Arabidopsis thaliana: one gene and its partners. The protein of the gene in region 3 interacts with the protein of the main gene of each other region in a pairwise test. Each region holds a gene or a part of one and is shown on either strand. Other genes may lie near its edges.

Region 1 (6,464 bases), on a different chromosome or scaffold from region 3:
CTTACGCTCACTTATCATTTTGAATTTTTTTTCAAATTTTTTAATGATAGATTTAAACAATTCATTTTTAATATAGCAAACGAGACAAGATATCGATATAAAAAACTAAAATCAAAACTGAAACCTTCAAAATTTTACATTTACAATACGACAATAATTATTAAAAATATATAATTCACTCAACGATTTTTGTTTTAACTTTTAAAATATAAGAAGAAACGAGAGAACAAACCAAGACTTGGATTCTAAATTAAATTTTTAGTTTTAATTGGGAGTCAAATAATCTATTTCAATTTGGAAAACCTATAAATGAGCTACTAACAAAATAAAGTAATATGAGCTTTAGAGTTTGAAAGTAATCTCACTTGGAAGATGAGGGAAATTTTTGAATTTCTTATAGGGATATAATATAAATTCTATAAAAGTTACCTTCAAATTAAAATAAAATCAAAAAGTTAGTGGTGGCGGCTGTCTCCTTAATCAGTGTGGGTCTACCCCTGTTTGCACTACTTCATGTACCTCTTTTCTCGTGTTGGAGCTAATTATGGCTATGATTTTTTCATCAACGTCATTTCATCTTTTGATAGTAACCACCATATCGGCTATTAATCTGTTCGTAGGAGATCTTTCGACTAACTGGAATTTTACATATGTCAAACCGTTTTCTAACTTTAGTCTCAAAACTCTCATAAAATTTATATTTATTTATTTAGTTATCTTTTTTTATGGCATTGGAGAGTACCTCTCTATATTTTGTTTTAAACTTTGAGACTTTTAAATCCTACTCTTTGTAATACATTCATCTAATTTTAAAAACATATTTTTAAAAAAATTTAAGAAATTGAAAAGAACTGAAAAACAAGAAAAATAAAATAAAAAAAATTCGCACGTGTGTGACTGTCCGAACTACTAACGGAAAAGAGTTAACGAGGTTTATTTCTTCCGTCAACTCTTGTTTGGTCATCACAATTCGCACGTACGAAAACACAAAACACAAGCGAACACTTTCGATAAACAAAAAGGAAAAACAAAAAATCCCTTTAGGGCACAAAACAAAGCGAAGAAAAAACACTTCTTCTTCTTCTTCAACAACAACAAAACCCAATTTCGCGGCTAAATCAATCGCTTCTTCTACTGGTACGTACTTACTCTCTTAATTCATCCTTCAATCTTCGATTTACCTTTCTGGGTTTCGTTTTCCTCAAGTCAATTTCGATTGATTTCACTGTTTCTTCGATAAAGCTTCTTAATACTTTATAAACCTCGGATCTTCTCAAATCTCTCTTCCTTCTTCCTAGAATTTGTCCGAAATTACGATTCTTCACCGACTCTTTCAGAAATTTATGTTTGATTTTACTTTCTTAGTTAGTCAATTTGTTCAACGTATTTGCTCTAGCTCGCTCAGGTTATCTACCTGAACTTCTTCTTCTCTTACTTCGATCTCAAGAATTAATGTATGTCTTTGATTTTGAATTGGGGTTTTTTAGGTCTTGGAATTGAGAGAAGAGACCAGTTTCGCTGGATCTTTGAATGAAGCTGGATTTGGATTAAGTTCAGGTGTAAATTTGTTGGAAGATGGGGTCAGATCAATGTTTTTCGAGATTGAATTCACTTGAGATTAAAGCCCTAATTTATCAGAAAATTGGGCATCAGAGAGCTGACACTTACTTCGACCAGCTCGGAAAATTCCTTACCTCGAGGATAAGCAAGTCCGAGTTCGATAAGCTATGTAGCAAGACGGTTGGTAGAGAGAACATTTCTCTACACAACCGTCTTGTACGTTCGATTCTGAAGAATGCAAGTGTTGCTAAGTCTCCACCGCCGAGGTATCCGAAGAAATCTCTTTACGGGGATCCCGTGTTTCCTCCTTCGCCGAGGAAATGCAGGTCGAGGAAGTTTAGAGACCGGCCTAGTCCTCTTGGTCCACTTGGGAAGCCTCAAAGTCTCACTACTACGAATGATGAGTCAATGTCAAAGGCTCAAAGACTTCCTATGGAAGTTGTCTCTGTTGAAGATGGAGAAGAAGTTGAGCAAATGACGGGTAGTCCGAGTGTGCAAAGCAGAAGCCCCTTAACCGCTCCACTCGGTGTTTCTTTCCATCTTAAGAGCAAAGCTAGATTTAGTACGTACAATGGTATCAACCGTGAGACGTGTCAAAGCAGCGGGGAGTTACCTGATATGATAACATTGAGAGCTCGGTTAGAGAAGAAATTGGAGATGGAAGGGATAAAGTTATCTATGGACTCTGCTAATCTTCTTAATCGTGGGTTGAATGCATATATGAGAAGGCTGATCGAGCCTTGTTTGAGTTTAGCAAGTCAACAAAAGCGAGCGGTGTCTAATGTATCGATGTTGGATTTCCATGCCGCCATGGAGGTTAATCCCCGGGTTCTTGGAGAGGAATGGCCTATACAGCTAGAAAAGATCTGTTGCCGTGCTTCTGAAGAGTAAAGTTGTAGAAAAAACGCCGTAATTTAGCGATACACCGATTATCATATTTGATTGACAGATTTGGTTCCTTTGCCTGAGATTCTTTCCTTTGGATTTGAGTGGAATTGCAATTAGAAATTTCTTGAGGAAGCTTTGAATGGGAAACAAAGGTTCTTGGGATTGTACAAGTTCTGATAGATATAATATAGTTTAAATACCATTTGTTTAGGTGATATCTTTACTTTTTTCTGTATTTTTTCCTCACGTCTAATGTAACAAATTTTCCATGAAAGCAAAAGAAAGTTTTAGCAGTTGCATAGACTCTTTCCTCTTACATTTCAGTGAAGCAGAACATAACTTAGACAAATAAGAGGAAACAAAACTTCATTACTTCGTGATATACATGTCTGACATGAGAAGTTCTTCCAAGCTCTTACATTGTAACAACCTAATTCTACAGACAGTACAGAATAATTTTGAAGAATGCTCATTGCAGTTTGATGTGGCGATAACTGAGCACTAAGGGAGGCATTGCCCGAGTCGATGTAGAAGATATGTGAGTGTTTCAGGTTGAAATTGCGACTGGTTTTTCACGGTTTGCCATGTAAGTCATGTAGATAGTCCATACATACGAAAATGAGTTGCTTACAAGAGGCTGCATGGAAATAAAAGCAAGAGCAGAGTGAGTGCATCCTGAGATAAGCAGCAAGAACACAAAAAGTAATGGAGAACGTAAAAGGATTGTCTTTTTTGTTTTGTGTCTTGAACACAAGAATGGCGAGTCAAAAGGATTACCTGTAAATGAACAGGGAAGAATCTGAATGTGATAAAATCACATAGAGGCCAATACATGACACCGTTAAAGAGCGCGGGGAGTAAGTCCCTTTTCAATCTGGCAAGTATAACTGAACCGCGTTCCCCTGAACAAATATCGGAAAAGCAGAATAGCTTAGAACATGTCCAAGATCAAACAAATCTGACATCAAGAAATGAATTCAAGAAGCAGAGAGGCGACTTGTTATAAAACCTATGTAATTCAGAGTAAAACTAAGAGCAGAAACTACATTCTCTCAGTTTTGTTAATTCGAGATTGCGGGTTTCTTCTTATCTAAATAACCAATCAATCACCACTTATCATTCTCACCATTGACACATACTAGCCACGAGCAAAACTGATTAAGAGTTGAGTAAAACTGTAATGGCAAGCAACAGTTCACAATAGATAAACTTCAGAGTTGGACGATATCACAATTTTGTGAAGAATTTTCAACTGAATTGAGACAATAGAAGAACGAAAAGATATGTTAAACGGGTTAGTCTGTTTCTTCCTATCCTAACACAATCCTGTTCTTAGATATATACAAGGAGCTTTACCTTGTAGGGATGCATTCAATGAGAAGAAAATAACAGTCATAATAGGCCCGTAGATCGTCTGTCCCATAGCCATTTTCTTAAACGTTGTGATCAAATCTTGTTTAGGAAAGAGTCTTGACATGAAATTGAACCAGTAGTGAAGTGTTGGACCCAAGACAAATAAACCATATCCTCCCATCCTTGCTGTTCTCACCAAGTCATAAGACTCAGAAGAAGTTTTCGCAATCGTCTATACAAAGATCAAAAACAAAATGAACCAACCAACGTCAGCTCTTAAGAGCAAGTACTCACACTGTAGAAAGCTCCAAAAAACCAACACACTACAAGGAAACGTAACCGTAGCTAATAGAACTCCTCAAAATTCACATTGCACAGAGCTAATTAAATCACCATTTCAAGAAGTCTCATTCCTCCAATAAAAAACCAAACTTTACTTCTCCTACTGTTTGATATTAGTATCAAAGACCTAGAAACATCTCCCAAACAAAACTTAAGCCATTTTATATTTGTGAATCTCATAGCTAAAGAGTACAAATTTCACAAAAAGACGTAATTTTTAGCTACCATAATTGGAAAAGGAAACTCCTTTTTCCAGTAAAAGCCAATTGCTAAGTTAGTACCTGAGAAGACAAGTCGGCGGCAATGTAAATAAGAGAGGAAGTGACACTTTTGGTCACAACTGGGTGTGATTTAACCATACCAAGATACCATCCAACGAACCCAATCCTCGACGGAGATGAAGAAGAAGAGAAACCCAAAGAAGGAGAAGGTGAGACTCCTGTTTCTTTTGCTCTTTCGAGAAGCTGACGTGACCGGAAATAAGGTCTCGATTGAGCAACTCCGGTCTTACCATATTGGTCTGTTGACGCCGCCGCGTTCCGCCGTATGAGCCGAGCGGTGTCGACGGCTACGTTCCTGAACAATGCTCTGCTCATTATGGCTTCCGAGATTTTAGGGGTTGTTGTTGTTGTTCAGGTATCAGAAAGCTTTGATGATGACTGCAAAAAATTGATAGATTTTTCCAATTTAAGTAGTTTCAGTCGGTTTAGCTAAACCGTACATATACCGAGTTACCCAAAATATCCGGTATAAATGGCCAAAAAACTCAACCACTTTATGGAATTAGTTGGGGTGGGCATTTAGGTTTAACTTCGGATTCGGTTTGAGTTTGGTTCCGTTCGGTTTTTTGGGTTTTGTAAAATTCTAACCAAACTCAACCGAAAGTAGTTGAAGTTAGTATGGTTTGGTTTGGGTTTGGGTCAATCTATGTTCGGTTTGGTTTGTTTTTAGTTCGTTTGATTTTAATTCGGTTCTGAAAGACGAATCAATATAACGAAACAAAACTATTTCGTTCATTATTGTTTGAACGTTGAATTTGATCATAGTTAAGTTAAGCAACAAGTTCAAGTTGCAAAATTTAAGTTGAATAATTCAAATAAGGGAAATTTGTACATAACATTAAAAAAACTTTAATTAGGTAACTAACCAAAAACAAAATGTATGTAATATTCTTTGTATATTCTGTAATTTGGACTATTGTACCCTTTATGTAAACATCAAACATACTTTTCATGTATCTTCTGTGTTTTCTATAGTCTCTCATCTCCTTCTTTTTTCTATATATCTCATGATTCCTTCATATTTATTTTGTTATGGCCACTATTTCTTCTTCTTAACCAAACCCTAGCCTTAGTATTAATACTGATTGTAGATCTGCTTCAGAGAGATCGAAGGACCCAAACGATTTTATCTTATTGTTGCCTTCACTACCGAACGATTCTTCACCAATTTTTTTTTTTCCCATCTTTTCATCATTTAATGTGCAATTTCTTAGATTGTGAATTGGTGGAGAATCGTTCGGTAGTGAAGACAACAATAAGATATTGAATTATCCTCACGAGCATAGAAGACAACGGACTTACGAGTAGGAAGGAGTGTGTTGTATTTTTACACCTCACATGTGCTATTCAATGAATTATGCATATTATAGTGTTAGATATTTAATAACTTTATTTAGAATGGTTTTTCACCTAATTCACCCTTCAAATAAACCAAAAAAAAAATTAAACTACAAATAATTACATATGTACTAATATACAATATTACTAATTAATTAATTAAATAAACATATAAGGTTATTGGTTCGGTTTGGTTTAAAACAAACCAAACCGAACCATTTCAGTTGAGTGAGAAGAAACATAACTGAATAGTTTGAGTCTAAGATTGGATTTGGTTTGGGTCGGTTCTGTTTGGTTCGGTTCGGTTTGGTTAAAATGTCCATTCCTCAATTAGCAGTGCCATCAAACTAGTTACAAATTATAGGTTCGGTAGGTTCCTTTGGGTAGTTGGGTTTAATGATTTACACAACACCGTCAATAATTTCTCCTTTGCCTATGATCAATTAATGACGGTTTAATATCTTTTTCCTTTTTTTCCCTATAAAAAAATTCTCACGTGCGTCTATCGAAATCACACTAAAATTTTCTTTTTTCCATGAGAAGTTTTTTTTCTCTCCGGCTAAAGGAAGAAGAGAAGGTACCACAATGCCTCCTCGCACGGGAAAGGATAAACAAAACCCCAGGCTCCCACCGGAGGTGACTCGCCTACTCTACATTTGTAACCTTCCCTTTAGCATAACAAGCGAAGATACGTACGATCTT
Region 2 (5,247 bases), on a different chromosome or scaffold from region 3:
TAGTAATTAATTCAACATAAAGAATATAATTAATCAGAACTTGAACCATCACTTTTTCTACATTTTTTAATTCAATATATCCTCTTTAATTTCGAGATCCACTTAAGTGGCTAAAAATCCAAACATGCTACATATATTACTTGCCTAAAAATTAGACGATTATTATGAAAGAAACTAAATGAATATGCAGATTAAATATATCTAAGCTTTTCGAGATTTATGCTAAGAAAACAAATAATTTGAAAGATGTTTGAGGAGCCATCCTTATAACTAAAACGTAAGATATAAGATTATAACAAGAACTTAACTAAACTTTTCAAGAACATCAAGTTGAATAAGCTTAGATTGAATATGCAGAGACATGGTTAATAAAGACATGGTATATTTATAGTGTAAGAAATAAATTTTCTAAAATTTCACCGTCTCACAATTTACATTTATAACCAAAAACAAAGATATATAAATTAAAAAAAAACTGAGAATTTAAAACAACAATAAAAAAGAACTCAAGCACATTCGTTTTTCAAATGAACTAATATAGTTGGACTTTTTAAAAACAATTACAAATCATATTTATGTTTCAAAACCGATGCATTCAACTTTACTTTATATGAACAAACATTATATAAAACAATTTGTAAATAATAATACATACACCCGCACTACGTGCGGGTACTCATCTAATTGTTTTAATTGGAAACTCACGCTGTTTCAAGAGCGACTACTTGCAACAAGCCAGTTTTGTATTTTTGGGCTTTTAGCTTGAAAATTTTGGGCTTATAAGCCTGTAAGGCCCGTAACTATCCGCTTCTATCAACCGTGCCGTTTCATACGGAGTGCAAAATCATAAGTTTTAGTTTTACTTTATTTTGTGGTAATGTCAAATAAAGATGGCCAATGTCTTAGTTAACACTTAACAACTCTACCAGGTAAAGTGAAGTGAACTTCGATACATCATTGTCAAAGAATATGAAGCGAAAATAATGGATTTTGTTCTATAACAACGACGCACCAATGGTATAAAAAATTGGTACAATTCATTTGCTGATAATGAAATTAACGTGGTTCACAAGTTTCAAACGAATCTATAATAGTGCAAATTTACCAAGATTTATGTAGACTAATGTATGATAATGACCCATTGAACGATTTAAACTTTAGCTTTGGGTTTTGGAAGCAAAACATTTTATAAATGACTTTTTCAACAGTTTTCATGATTTTGAGATTGTAACCACATTCATCTGACAGCAGAATTCATGCTTTGATATAACATTAGCGTGTCATGTAATATTTATCTAAACCTACTAGTTTTGGGTTATATAACTCGACAATATGATTTTAAAATTTTCTTGAGTTAAATTCAAAGTAAGGATTTCCATTTTCAACACTTTTATGTGACATGACGTTACATATGGAAAGTCATAGGAATATCCCAATTTTTTTTTTAATTATTATTAGAAGTAAAATTTTAATAGAAATATTTGTGTCTAGGATTTTCACTACAGTCTATTAGATAATATTCATATCTTTGATTATATCAATCATTAGTCTATTTATCTATAGTCATATATTCACATTTACTTTGATTGTAATACCCTAGATATCTCTCTTTGTATATAAGCTCATCTCTGTATTATAATAAAATCATCACTTCTATAATCATGGAATCAGAGCAATAAAGCTCCTAGACCTAAATTTTTCTTCTTACTCGTCTTTTCTCTCGCAGCCGTCCAATGGCAAACACAAACACCATTCGTGATAATGATCATTATGAATATATTCTAATACAGTCTATATATATTATATTGTATACATTTAACTATATATAAACAAAAACAAAAAAAAACTACTTGAAGTTAGTAATTATTATCACTTGACAAACAAAAAAACACTACTTAAAGATATACACATGCATTGAATGTGTATAACAAGCGGCTCCATCTTACTACTAGTTGGTTAGTTAAACTTATTAAGAAAATACAAAAAAGGAAAGTGAGGAAAGAGCTTCTTGGCAAAAAGTAAGTCCTTAAATAGTATAATCCCTGAGATGAGCAATAATGGTGTTCCTTATATTATTGCATGTCTATTTTCTCTTTTCTTTTTTCTTCTTCTTCTTCTTCTCTTTAGTCGAAACCCTGAATCTATTCAATTTCACTAAACAAAAATGTCAACTGGAGAGAGGAAGACGTCTCTTACGTAAACAGACATAATTATTGTCAAATCATCAACTTTTTCTACGAAGATGTCAAAACGAAGCTTTTGAATTATTGTTTACTTTCTAAGTTACAGGCTTTATATGTAGCTTTCTTCATGAAGAATATGATTTACGTACGCAACCTTTTTACATTGTATCGATTATGGTGGGCACCAATCGTACGTTCATGTTTATATTTGTGTAAAAATCGTATGATGTAATTTGTCCCTTTGAGTCTATAGTATTCTTTGGACACCGTGTGAACTACAATTGGGCAACTATTAATAGCCTTATATTATTTATACCCACAAATGAATTTTTTTACCAAATTAAGAATGTAGTTCTTCTAAATACACACTATCGAAAATAAAACGAGGATTTAATCAAATTTTCTGATACTTTGAGAATATAATTTTTTTAATTATAAAAGAAAGTGTACACATGAACTCAATCTCTTTAATGCAAGAAAAAAAATTGATATGACAAAAATAGTTTTGATAACTTCGGTTTTTCTAAGCGATAATTGACAAATAAGTCATAAGAATATCATTTAAACTAAGTTTTCTCTAAATACATAATATTTTCAAACGGACAAAAGCTGTATGTCGTTACATATAGAGATCTGCAATATTCGACAACATATATAATTGAATAAATGATAAATCAAAGTGTAGAATAGTGGTTTTTTATTACTCAATAACGGATCGGATCACACACAAACATATCTATATCAATTATATATGAAGACACACATACACAAACATTCTTGAGAAGACTTACGAACGGTATATGATATCATTGTGAATAGAATTCGACAACATGTCAACATATATGAAGTGAAAAGACGACAATCAATTAATGTGCCTAATGACCCACGCCGGGGCTAGGGACTGATTCTAGTCGACGGTATATCTCCGGCGAGTTTTCTGGTACCATACGCTGGTCGGTATCATCCGGAGGAGAAGTGTGACCCTTGTCGCTTGGACCCGAAGGTGGTACATTGCCCTTGGGTAGGGCACTAAGAAACAAACCCTTGCTTGTGCCGTAAGGGACTAGAACTTTTCTAGCTTGAGAAGATTGCAAGACAAAACCAACAATCAAAATGAGTAAGCAAATCATCGAAATGGAGATCCTTGGACGAGCCATTACCTGATTGATTTTGTTGTATAATTTTAGATATTAATTAATTAGTTATGAAGCAAGAAATTTTTAGTTTATTTTTTGGGATTTGGTTGTGTTTCTGTGAGTGAATACTTTGATAGAGTGGATATATATAGAGAGAACAGGAGATGGATGAGGTCAATGGAAATTTATTTGGGTTAGGTACAAATGAACTAAATTGGTGAGTTCGTATATATAAAGTGTTTATGTTTGTAATTGATGGATCAATGCATATATGTAGGTGTTTTTTTCTTTCTTTTTTGACAAAGTGTATGTTATAATTCCAAGCAGCAGACAAAAACACTTTCACGTTACATGCTTTTCATTGCTTATCTGAATATGATAATTTAACAATAATATCAAAATAGCAGAATTGAGTTTTATACAACATAAATGTCATATAAAATATATATGTATATCTTCTTTTTGGTTTTTGTTTTGTCTTTACTTTGATCACCACTATAAAACGGTATATAAAATAATTAGTTGTTTGTATTCAGTTAAATATTTTGTTTGTTAGGTGGTAAAAAAAAAAAAAAAATTGTTCAATGTCTTGCTAAGTTGCTGACTGAGATGTTCCATAAGAGACGATAAAAGTTGATGAAGTGATCTCGATGACTACTTATTTAGCAAAATATAAATATCGATGACCACTTATTTCTATGGCTCATTATCAGTGTGGTTCAATACTATTGTATGAGTGCTTTGTTGAAAGCATTGCTTTCTGTTGTTTTGGAGTTTTGTGTGTTTTACTGTTTATAGCAAAATTTTATCCGTGGCACACAATTATATGCTTTAAACATATTACTTTTCATACCTCTTGTTCTCTATTATTGAAGTTTTTTTTTTTTGGTCAAAGTTCTCTATTATTGAAGTTCTAGTAAAAATATAAACCCAAAATTAATGATACATCAGAATTTGGTTGAATATATATGTATCATAGATTTAGCATTATTATCTTCCATTATAAGGAGGTACAACTACACGAACCATATACCACACGAGTCCGTATTAATAAAAATGACAAATGTAATTACACTATAAGAACAATAACTACAACTATTATCAGAAATTAAAACAAACAAAAAAGTCAAAAATATATAACTACAGTACATCCTCCGTGGGAAGATTGAAAAGTAAATCATAGAGCAAACAATCTCGTAATTAGTTAATCATATCTTTGATTATATTATAACCAACAGATTTCTTCTCAGTCATCATCTATAACTTCTGCATTGTATGATAAAAAAAAAATCGAAGAGTACTATATTATAAACACAGATCTGTTGAAAACGTATGTCTGATTTTACCCAGAGTTGAAAAAAAAAGATGAAAAATTCAGAGTCAAACAAAGAATCACGAAAGAGTACTGAGCAAGGAACGACGATCAGATCACCCTACTCTGCTTAGGGTTTGTGAGTCTTGATCACGTATTTCACGTGAATGCGGCTATTTAAAGGTCAACTGAGAAGGTTAATTTAACTTGAAAATCCAAATTCTATAATAACCAAGATTTACGTAAAAACAAAAAATATATCGTCCCAATAAAAATAAATAAAAGAATATCATATCATCGTCCCAATAAAAATAAGATATTTTTATCTAATAGCACATCTGGTTTTAATGTTTTATCATTCTTAATTCTTATAACACCAACAGAGAGTAGAAACCCTGCTCTGTAGATCATCATCGGATACAAAACTGGATTTATCGGAGACGATAGACCTCACAAGCTGGCTCAATTAATCCATGACAACTTGACTACTCGTAGAGCTTCTTGGAATCGCTTTGATTTCGTCGATGATGTTACAGAAACAGGCACTTACTGTCAGTTTCTTGAGAGCTGCACCATTTTCTACAAAGTACTTTGTTAATTTTCTCTTACTTGATGT
Region 3 (9,010 bases):
TACCAGAACCGACTCTGGAAGGAGCAAGAGTCGTGGCATCGACCCAACCTCTGTATACTTTCCCGAAACCTCCTTGACCCAACATCGAATCCGGTTTGAAATTCTTCGTCGCCGTCTTTAGATCCAGAAAGTTATAGACTTTGAGATTTGGCGATTCCAGTAGTTTACCGGAATCACTTATAATCCCAGTGGAAATATCGGAGAATTGGCTCTGTTGTCCGACGCTGCTGTTTGTTGTCGCGCCGGTGGTTGACGAGAACTCTGTTCCATTGCTGTGGTTGTTCGTTGTGGCTGCTTATCATTAACAAAGACAGAGAGAGAGAGAGAGATCAGAAAGTGTAGATCTTTTAGGTTTTATGCAAGAACCCAGAAAGAAAAACAACAACTTGTAGAGATTAAATACCATGACTATGGAGACCTGTTTTGGAAGGAGAGGAAGAAGAAAAGAACGAAATACAAGCACCCATCAATTTCTAATGAGCCTTCTCTTTCTTCTTCTTCTTCTTCTTCTTCTTCTTGTTTTACCAATTCAGACAAGAGCTAGTGGATATGGATCTCAAGTCAGTTGGTTTATTTGAGTTTTTATTGCTCGAGTTTAGAACTATTGAAAGAGGCAACGATGGGTTGCAAAATAATTTTGACTTAATTTAGATAACAAAATAAAATAAAGGGAGGAAAATTGGGGGTTGCTAGCGTGAACCGAAGAAGGGTTTTGGTCTACCTTTTCATTTTTTATGCATTTCTTTCTCATTTAAAAGAAATTAAAAAAAAACAAACGAAAATGCCAAGAAGATGGGACCAAAAAGAAGAATCATAGCCTAAGAGCCTTTTCTATCTATTTATGATCGTGTGATCTGAAAAAAATAATTGAGAATTTTGTTTTTACTTTGGAAATCTTTGAATTATTTGTAATTTTATTTCACATGTTTTTTTTTAATCACTGTCCACATCATTCAAAAAATAGTAGAGATGTGAAACCGTTAGGAAGTAAAAAGACTTTTGCTTGTGCCAGCAAAATGCTTAAAAGTCATCCTCTCAGTCACAGTGCTTGGACGTTTGTGTCTTTATGGAAATTTCTCATTCATTTCCACAAATATGAAAGTCATTCGACTTCTACTATAGTCTATAGAGCTGTTTCACAATTAGAAACACCAAAATTCTCCAATGGCAAAATTAGAATATATTTTTCTTTATATGAATGCGTAAGAGAAAAAAATTTCTTCACTTTGTCAGAGATGTTCGTAAGTTGGCCTTTTTTCAAAACATCATACTTTTCATTTTTAAATGATCATATAATATATAGATCTTTTTTTGTTTGGTCAAATATATATATATAGGCCTTTTAGATCAGAAAATAAAGTATTGTTATTTCTTTTTTAATATTAAAACAAAAAAAATGATCTTCACCAAAAAATAACAAAAAAAATTTTTGATCAAAAACACTGAAAATGACTTCAAAATGATACTTGACCACGTACAAAATGCCAGTTGCATGGAAAATGAAACAAAGAAAAACATTTTCTCATTTTCGTAAATATTGACGTAGGATCACACACACACGTATACACACTTGTAGACTTCGAACTTCTTTGTACGATACACGTTAATTGATGGTCTTCGTCGTGTGGACAGAGTCGTCGTAGATTTTCAAAGCACGAGCTGGGACCACTCAAGAACACACATAACCAATAGCCTTAAACAAAACTGGTCATCACACTTTTGAAAGTTTTTCTTGACTATGGATGGGTTAATTTGGATCAGTTCCTAAACCATGATTTGGGTTTGATCTTTCACCATTATATAAAGAAATTCGATCTTAATTGCTACCTAATTGCACTAAGAAAAAATAAAAGATTCAATTCTGATATCCGACCACAAAAAATCATGATACAAGAGTTCCTCTCTTCTTGGAACTTCTTATACCAAAAACAAACATGGCTTAGCATCATCTGTTAGACTTGTAACTAACATTTCTAAATACCAAAACGCTTCACAGAAACCCCTAACTAACTAATATATCCGATGTTACTGTTAAAGGACCTAAAGTCTTTAAGTGGAAGAGGAAGTGACAAGAGATTCTTGATTCTTCTTGGCTCTAGAAGCCCTGTGTCTTTTCTTGAAGTTTTCTTGTCTGAATTTTTTGGTTTCTATCCCTATCTCCATGAATGGTCTCTTCACTATATTTCTCTTCTCTGTCTCCAGTTTCTCCTGTTTCTTAGCTACCGCCATTGCTGCTGCTTCATTCTTTTCCTGCTGCTTCTCTGCTTCCCTCTAATCAATACCAAAACAAATCAATGCTTCTTTCAGTGAATTGATGTATTAGGATTGATAAAGAGAGAGAGAGAGAGAGAAGACCTGAAGATCGTGGATGAGACAGTCGAGAGATTTGATCTTCCTATGAGGCCACCGTGGAATCCCAAACTCTCTGCATTTCTTTTTCAAAACAGTGAGACCGACCTTGAGATTCCGAGAAGCTTCCACGATAGTGAGGTCAAAGTATTTTGAAAGCTCTTCTAAGGATAGTTCAGCAACATGTCTCGATGGTGTCCTCTTCTTCTTCTTCAAAATCTCAGTCTTAGCATCTGTGTTTTTACAATAACCCGAAATTAATCACCAAAATGCTTAAAACTGGACCTTGTACCAAAAAAAAGAGAGCTTAAAACTGGCCTAGAGTTATATATTATCTGGAAGGCAAGTCTATTGACATTTGAAGAAAGAGATTTACCTGATTCCGACTGTTCAGTTTTATCGTTTTCAAATTCCGAATGTTCGGTTTTTTCGTTTACAGATTCCTCGGATTCGGTTTCTGAATCAGGAAGGCAGTTAAGATCTTGTTTCAGAACGAGCTTTCGTGGTTTAGGCAGATCAGAGTTATAATATCCCTCTGTACTGCTACTGCATTGTTCTTCTTCATAAATCTTTGATGGTTTTAACTCGGAGATAAACTTGAGCTCGTTGGCTAAATTAGGGATGTCCTCCAGTTTGGGATTTCTATCAATAAAAAGAGCAAAAACATGTTTGGTTGCTAAAAATGCTCACAACTCAAGTAACACTACAATGTGCTTTTTTTTTAGTAAAATGTTAAGTTTTAGAACATCTATGAATTTCTTTTACCGAATACAGAGATAACAGAAGATCGAATTCTATGCAACACTACAATGTGTTATTGTTACAAGCCTATTTGTTCACAATTAGGTAATCTTAACTCATTCACTTTACATAGTCCATTGCTATTTTTGTGCCATTGTTGTCAAAATTTGACAGTCTTGGAGTCAATAAGACAGTAACACTATATAATCTACAATTCGATTCAAGAGACCTAATTCTAAAAAAAATCAATCTGTTATGTGAAAAATATAACAGCACCAAAAATTTTTAAAACAAAAACGTTCCGAATAATGAATGAGTCAAAACTGGCGTTACCTGGAAAGACAGAGAAGAGTAGGAAACCGAGGAAGCGAGTGATTAAACCGGAACACAAAGATACAACGCCACGTGCCAAAAACCGACCCTTCCGAGATCTCCGGTCGCCGGAAATCTTCCGAACGAAACAGAGGCTTCGCTTTCTTCTCTACATAACAGCTTTTGCTCTTGAACCAGAACTCTCTCTCAATCTCCACCGATTCATAGACATGCAAACTCCTCACCATCTCTGCATTAACAAAACCCATAGAAACAAAATAAAAACCATTTTTCAATCCGACCCGAGTCATTCCGACCCGATTCGAGATTCTAGTCAGAGTTTTGACTTACCTTTGCGGATGACGCTCTGGAAAACGGCGAGTGAGGTTAAGGAATGTGCCATGTCCGAAGAAGACCAAGAGTCGCAAAAGCAGAAGCCCAAGATTTTAACATAAAAAAGTTTTATTAATATATTTTTCTTTTTTTCCTTTTTTAGTGTGAAAAATCTGCAGAAGAATCCAAGGTTTTATGTACTTGAAGCGTTTGTCATTAAGTGAAAAGGCTCCAAGAAAAGTAGGTTAAAATTTTACCCTTGGTCCACCATCGAAATTACCAAAAAGGCAGAATATTCCGGAACGCACGTGTAGGCAAGCGGAGCGTGCGAGGGTAGTTATGTAAAATTAACAGTGGGAAGCGGGTTGCACCGAACCAAGCCCATGTAGCTAAACACTCACACGCGCGACGCATGTCTGAAAAGTGGTAATTGAATTTTGTTTAGAATGATTCTACAGAGGTTGAATTTGGTAAATGAATCAGAGGAATATTAAGCATTTGAGCATAATTTCCAATTTGGTCAGATTATGATATATGTAAATATGTCCATGATTCATTTTCTGTTTTTGGGTTCTCTTTGTTCATTTATTAAGTCATGGGCTGAAGTTTTCATATTTTAAGTCATGGGCTGAGTTCTCAAGGACTAAAACTGGTATTGATATTATGATCTGTTAAAAGCCAATTCATTTAAGGTGTTCAAAATCTAAACTGAATAATTGCGTTAAATTAAGCCGGACATGTTTCAATCAAAAGTCAATAGAATGTGTCAAAATACTCTGGGTACTTGGGTAGTATTAGTAACATTAACTTACAAGGATTTTTCTCTATATAAAAATACAGAGTACTAGTTTTGATTTTATCTGAGTGAGAACTTTCTAATAAAACTCTAATCGAAAACAATTAATATTTTGTATAAAATGGAGTGTAGAACCTAAATATTTTGTATTGCTTGGATATATAGTTTTTTTTCTTCTTAACATGGATATATAAGTTCTATTTCGTACATATTTCCCCTAATTTTAATGTTGAATTTTGGAAAACTTTTGTTGGATAGTGACATGAAGACCCTAATTTTAATCATAACATTTTGGAAAACTTGATTGGGTGAGTGATATGGAGGTGATGTTAACGTATGTTTGGTATCAATAGTTGGTCCAATTAGGCCCAAAGAGTCAAAAAAGGTGCCCAAGTGTTGTCAAAAGAGAAAACAATTAAGAATAGGGCAAAGCTTGGCCAGCAAGATTTAGTGGTCATTTCCTAGAAACGTGTCCAAGAATTTATAAAGATGGGTTGTCTTATAAATACATATCGTTCACGTAATTACCTGAGATCAAATCTTAATCATATCATTCATCGTATATAGACTCCAAACACGTTTTTCAAACTCCTATGATCATGTGTTCTCTCTTTGCCTCCGTCTTTGATTGCTTTGTTCCAAAATCAGACTCAAAGATTAGCTCAACTGATGAGAGTGACTTGAAAGTCCTGTCCTCAAAGAAACCAAAAAGCAAATCCCCGAGAGCTCCGATTATGGTGTCTTACTTTCCCGCCGGTTCAAACCTTTCGCGTCTATAAGTGCCAAATAGAAGAGAAGAGAAGATGAAGTATTGGGATGTTGATTTTGATATAAACGAAAGAAGTTTTTGGTTGTAGACATGTTGTATGCGCAGGCTTTAATTTTATGTTTTATTTAATTATGTACAAATAGACCATTTAGATTGATAGCATCATATATATGCTTTGTATTTAAGACCAAATAAAAGATTAATGTTTATATACATGCGTAAAAATGTTAAGAGCTTAGTTAGTATCATTTTCAAAAACTGATTGTCACTTGAGCTTTTATTTTTCTTATTTTTTTAATTAAGAAAAGTTGTGGCCCTCAAAAAGTTACATGGAATCGGAACAGGAAAAAAAAAATGTCGAAAACTGATTAATCTAGGCAACGTTATCGCATTTTCATATCTTACAAATCCCTTTTTCAATTCAGATTTGGTAGAAATGCAAGGAGAGTTCCATAGTGTATATGTAAAATTTGTATAAAACGTCTAGAAGAATTACAATGCTGAATTTGTTGGAAGCTCTGTTTTTCTCTGCTTAGACGTTTCCAACGTGTTTTGGGTTTCTCTGATCACTGTAAAGCCTAAACCACAAGAGAAGAAAAACCACGAAGCTTTGGGCTTTAAGGCCTTTTTGGGCCCTAGCCACAATAATGGAAGCCTATCAAGAAAAGACAAGACAAGACAATAAGACAGAAGAGGACAAGTGTTTAAAGTGGAAGTTATCTTTCTCACGTGGTCTAAAGAAAGGTTAAAAAAAAAGAGGGAAAAAAAAAAGAAGATGAGAGAAAGCAAAGTGTTGAAGACTTTTTAGAAAGCAGAAAAAAAAGCAGAGAGTGTATTCAAAGTCGGAAAGAAACCCTAAAGAAGAGGATTATGGGTGCTGTATCGATGGAGTCGCTTCCTTTAGGTTTCAGATTCAGACCTACCGATGAAGAGCTCGTCAATCACTACCTCCGTCTCAAGATCAACGGACGTCACTCCGATGTCCGTGTCATCCCTGATATCGATGTCTGCAAATGGGAACCTTGGGATCTTCCTGGTTCGTCTCTTTATTCTCTCAAAATTTGATTCCTTTTATTCTCAGATTCTGTTTTCCCTCTCAAAGATTCCACCTTTTTTTTCTTTACTCAATTGGAAACAAATCTGATTGTCGGCAGCTCTCTCGGTGATTAAGACGGATGATCCAGAGTGGTTCTTTTTCTGCCCTCGTGATCGGAAATACCCTAATGGTCATCGCTCTAACAGAGCAACTGACTCTGGCTATTGGAAAGCTACTGGTAAAGATCGTAGCATCAAGTCTAAGAAGACTTTAATCGGTATGAAGAAGACTCTTGTCTTCTATCGTGGACGAGCTCCTAAAGGTGAGCGGACTAATTGGATTATGCACGAGTATCGTCCCACTCTTAAGGATCTTGATGGCACTTCCCCTGGCCAAAGCCCTTACGTTCTTTGTCGCCTCTTCCACAAGCCTGATGATCGGGTTAATGGTGTCAAGTCCGATGAAGCAGCTTTTACGGCCAGCAACAAATACTCACCTGATGATACATCATCTGATCTTGTTCAAGAAACACCTTCCTCTGATGCTGCTGTTGAGAAACCATCAGATTATTCAGGTGGATGCGGTTATGCTCATAGTAATAGTACCGCAGATGGGACAATGATTGAGGTATGAATGGAAACTCTTGAATAATTAATTAGGCTTTTTTGAGTGACTTGACTAATTTTGAGTTTTGTGTTCATAGGCACCTGAAGAGAATCTTTGGTTATCTTGTGACCTTGAAGATCAAAAGGCACCACTACCGTGTATGGATTCTATATATGCTGGTGATTTCAGTTACGATGAGATTGGATTCCAATTTCAAGATGGTACCAGCGAACCAGATGTATCACTAACAGAATTGTTGGAGGAGGTGTTCAATAACCCTGATGACTTCTCTTGCGAGGAATCGATCAGTCGAGAGAATCCAGCAGTCTCACCAAATGGGATATTTTCATCTGCTAAAATGCTGCAGTCTGCAGCACCAGAGGATGCTTTCTTCAACGACTTCATGGCTTTCACTGATACAGATGCTGAGATGGCGCAATTGCAGGTGAGCACAAAGATACATATTTTGAGGCCTATACAATTTTAGAAGTATCCAAATTATTTTGCTTTAAGTAGGCTAGAAACCTCTAGATCAGTTATCTTTACAATCACTCTTGACATAAGTAAAATGACAATTTTTATCTTTTGTTTGATCAGTATGGTTCAGAAGGTGGAGCTTCTGGTTGGCCAAGTGACACTAATTCATACTATAGTGATTTGGTTCAGCAAGAGCAAATGATCAATCATAACACAGAGAACAACCTCACAGAAGGGAGAGGGATAAAGATCCGGGCTCGACAGCCTCAGAACCGGCAGAGTACAGGATTGATAAACCAGGGTATTGCTCCAAGGAGAATCCGTCTGCAGCTGCAGTCTAACTCTGAAGTAAAAGAACGAGAGGAGGTGAATGAAGGACACACTGTTATTCCCGAGGTACGAGACTAGTGATTCCAAAAGTTGTGTCTTAGACATCAATAACATAAAGGATGCATCTTTTTAATTTGTTGTTAATGGTGGGGATGTGCAGGCCAAAGAAGCTGCAGCTAAATACTCAGAGAAGAGTGGTTCTTTGGTTAAACCTCAAATAAAGCTCAGGGCGCGGGGAACTATAGGCCAAGTAAAAGGAGAGAGATTTGCAGACGACGAGGTAAGAATGAGTGAACTTGTTTACACATGAATGAAGAAAGAGTATAGTAGTAAGCTCTACTAAATACTATAGAATTAGAAAGAAAAAAAAGAGAAAGCAATCAGTAGAGCATGTGAGATCAGCTAGTAATGATAAAAGAAACTGAGAAGTATCTTTGTCTAAAGAGAAGTTTGTTGTGGTTACAGGTACAGGTGCAGAGCAGAAAGAGACGAGGAGGGAAGCGATGGAAGGTGGTTGCAACGGTAATGGTGGCTGTGATGGTTGGGGTAGGGATGGGTATATGGAGGACACTGGTGAGTTCATGACACATGAGACACAAAGAGAGAGAGAGAGAGAATCAAATGTAGTTTAATGTAATTAGGGATGATGCAATGTTAGCATGTTTGTGTGTTGTAACTTAAAAACTTATTTAGGAATCTGATAAAAGTTACTGTTGAATTTACACGGATGGTCAAGATTAAATGTACCAACATCTTAATTATCTACGGTCAAGATTAAAAATACCAACATCTTAAATTAACACCGCATCAAAGAATTATCTCAATCGTCGTCTCTCCCCAATTCAAAAAAAGAAATAACCTAAACGTGTTCACACAGAGGTAAGCTCGCTCCTACTCGCCGCCTCATCTGAGTCAACTCCGAGTCAGCTATTTTTCCCCACCGGATTCTCACTTTTGTTCCTCTCTGTGACAGATCTCGAGATGAAAGATAACCAAACGGAAGTTGAATCGAGGAGCACTGATGATAGGTATCTTTATATTTATCCGTAATCTCGATTCTTAGATTCAATTTGTTTCCGTAGTTTTGAAATCGTCTTTTATGATTCTCAGATTGAAAGTTAGAGGGAACAAAGTTGGAAAGAAAACAAAGGATCCAAACAGGCCTAAGAAACCACCAAGTCCTTTCTTCGTCTTCCTGTAAATAAAAATCACTAATCTCTCTTCTTCTTTTTTCTTCACTAATTTGATTACAGTAATTAAT

What was found. The genes of interacting proteins can lie anywhere in the genome.
Region 1: the proteins of NTL9 (region 3) and AT2G14860 interact in a two-hybrid assay, tested with the Arabidopsis thaliana proteins (one large-scale study listed by BioGRID).
Region 2: the proteins of NTL9 (region 3) and AT1G16950 interact in a two-hybrid assay, tested with the Arabidopsis thaliana proteins (one large-scale study listed by BioGRID).

Annotation. Positions count from the first base shown.
Region 1 is NC_003071.7:6,384,825-6,391,288, forward strand, and holds AT2G14860 (Peroxisomal membrane 22 kDa (Mpv17/PMP22) family protein), read right to left. Parts: upstream 4,845-6,464; 5' UTR 4,740-4,844; coding exon 4,425-4,739; intron 4,034-4,424; coding exon 3,805-4,033; intron 3,351-3,804; coding exon 3,226-3,350; intron 3,086-3,225; coding exon 2,996-3,085; 3' UTR 2,757-2,995; downstream 1-2,756. Other genes in the region: AT2G14850 (transcriptional regulator of RNA polII, SAGA, subunit), read left to right, coding at 1,576-2,451; AT2G14870 (RNA-binding (RRM/RBD/RNP motifs) family protein), read left to right, coding at 6,348-6,464.
Region 2 is NC_003070.9:5,794,176-5,799,422, reverse strand, and holds AT1G16950 (uncharacterized protein), read right to left. Parts: upstream 3,545-5,247; 5' UTR 3,341-3,544; coding exon 3,059-3,340; 3' UTR 2,757-3,058; downstream 1-2,756. Other genes in the region: AT1G16945 (F-box/FBD/LRR protein), read right to left, coding at 5,226-5,247. UniProt on the Arabidopsis thaliana protein: Extracellular signaling peptide that may regulate primary root growth rate and systemic nitrogen (N)-demand signaling.
Region 3 is NC_003075.7:16,887,905-16,896,914, reverse strand, and holds NTL9 (NAC transcription factor-like 9), read left to right. Parts: upstream 1-6,113; 5' UTR 6,114-6,170; coding exon 6,171-6,336; intron 6,337-6,454; coding exon 6,455-6,963; intron 6,964-7,039; coding exon 7,040-7,387; intron 7,388-7,539; coding exon 7,540-7,815; intron 7,816-7,909; coding exon 7,910-8,029; intron 8,030-8,195; coding exon 8,196-8,381; 3' UTR 8,382-8,510; downstream 8,511-9,010. Other genes in the region: CST (Protein kinase superfamily protein), read right to left, coding at 1-294, 404-467; RKD5 (RWP-RK domain-containing protein), read right to left, coding at 2,050-2,271, 2,356-2,582, 2,726-2,991, 3,424-3,652, 3,754-3,908, 3,993-4,006; HMGB5 (high mobility group B5), read left to right, coding at 8,731-8,777, 8,860-8,946. UniProt on the Arabidopsis thaliana protein: Transcriptional activator activated by proteolytic cleavage through regulated intramembrane proteolysis (RIP). Calmodulin-regulated transcriptional repressor. Binds several synthetic promoters with randomly selected binding sites.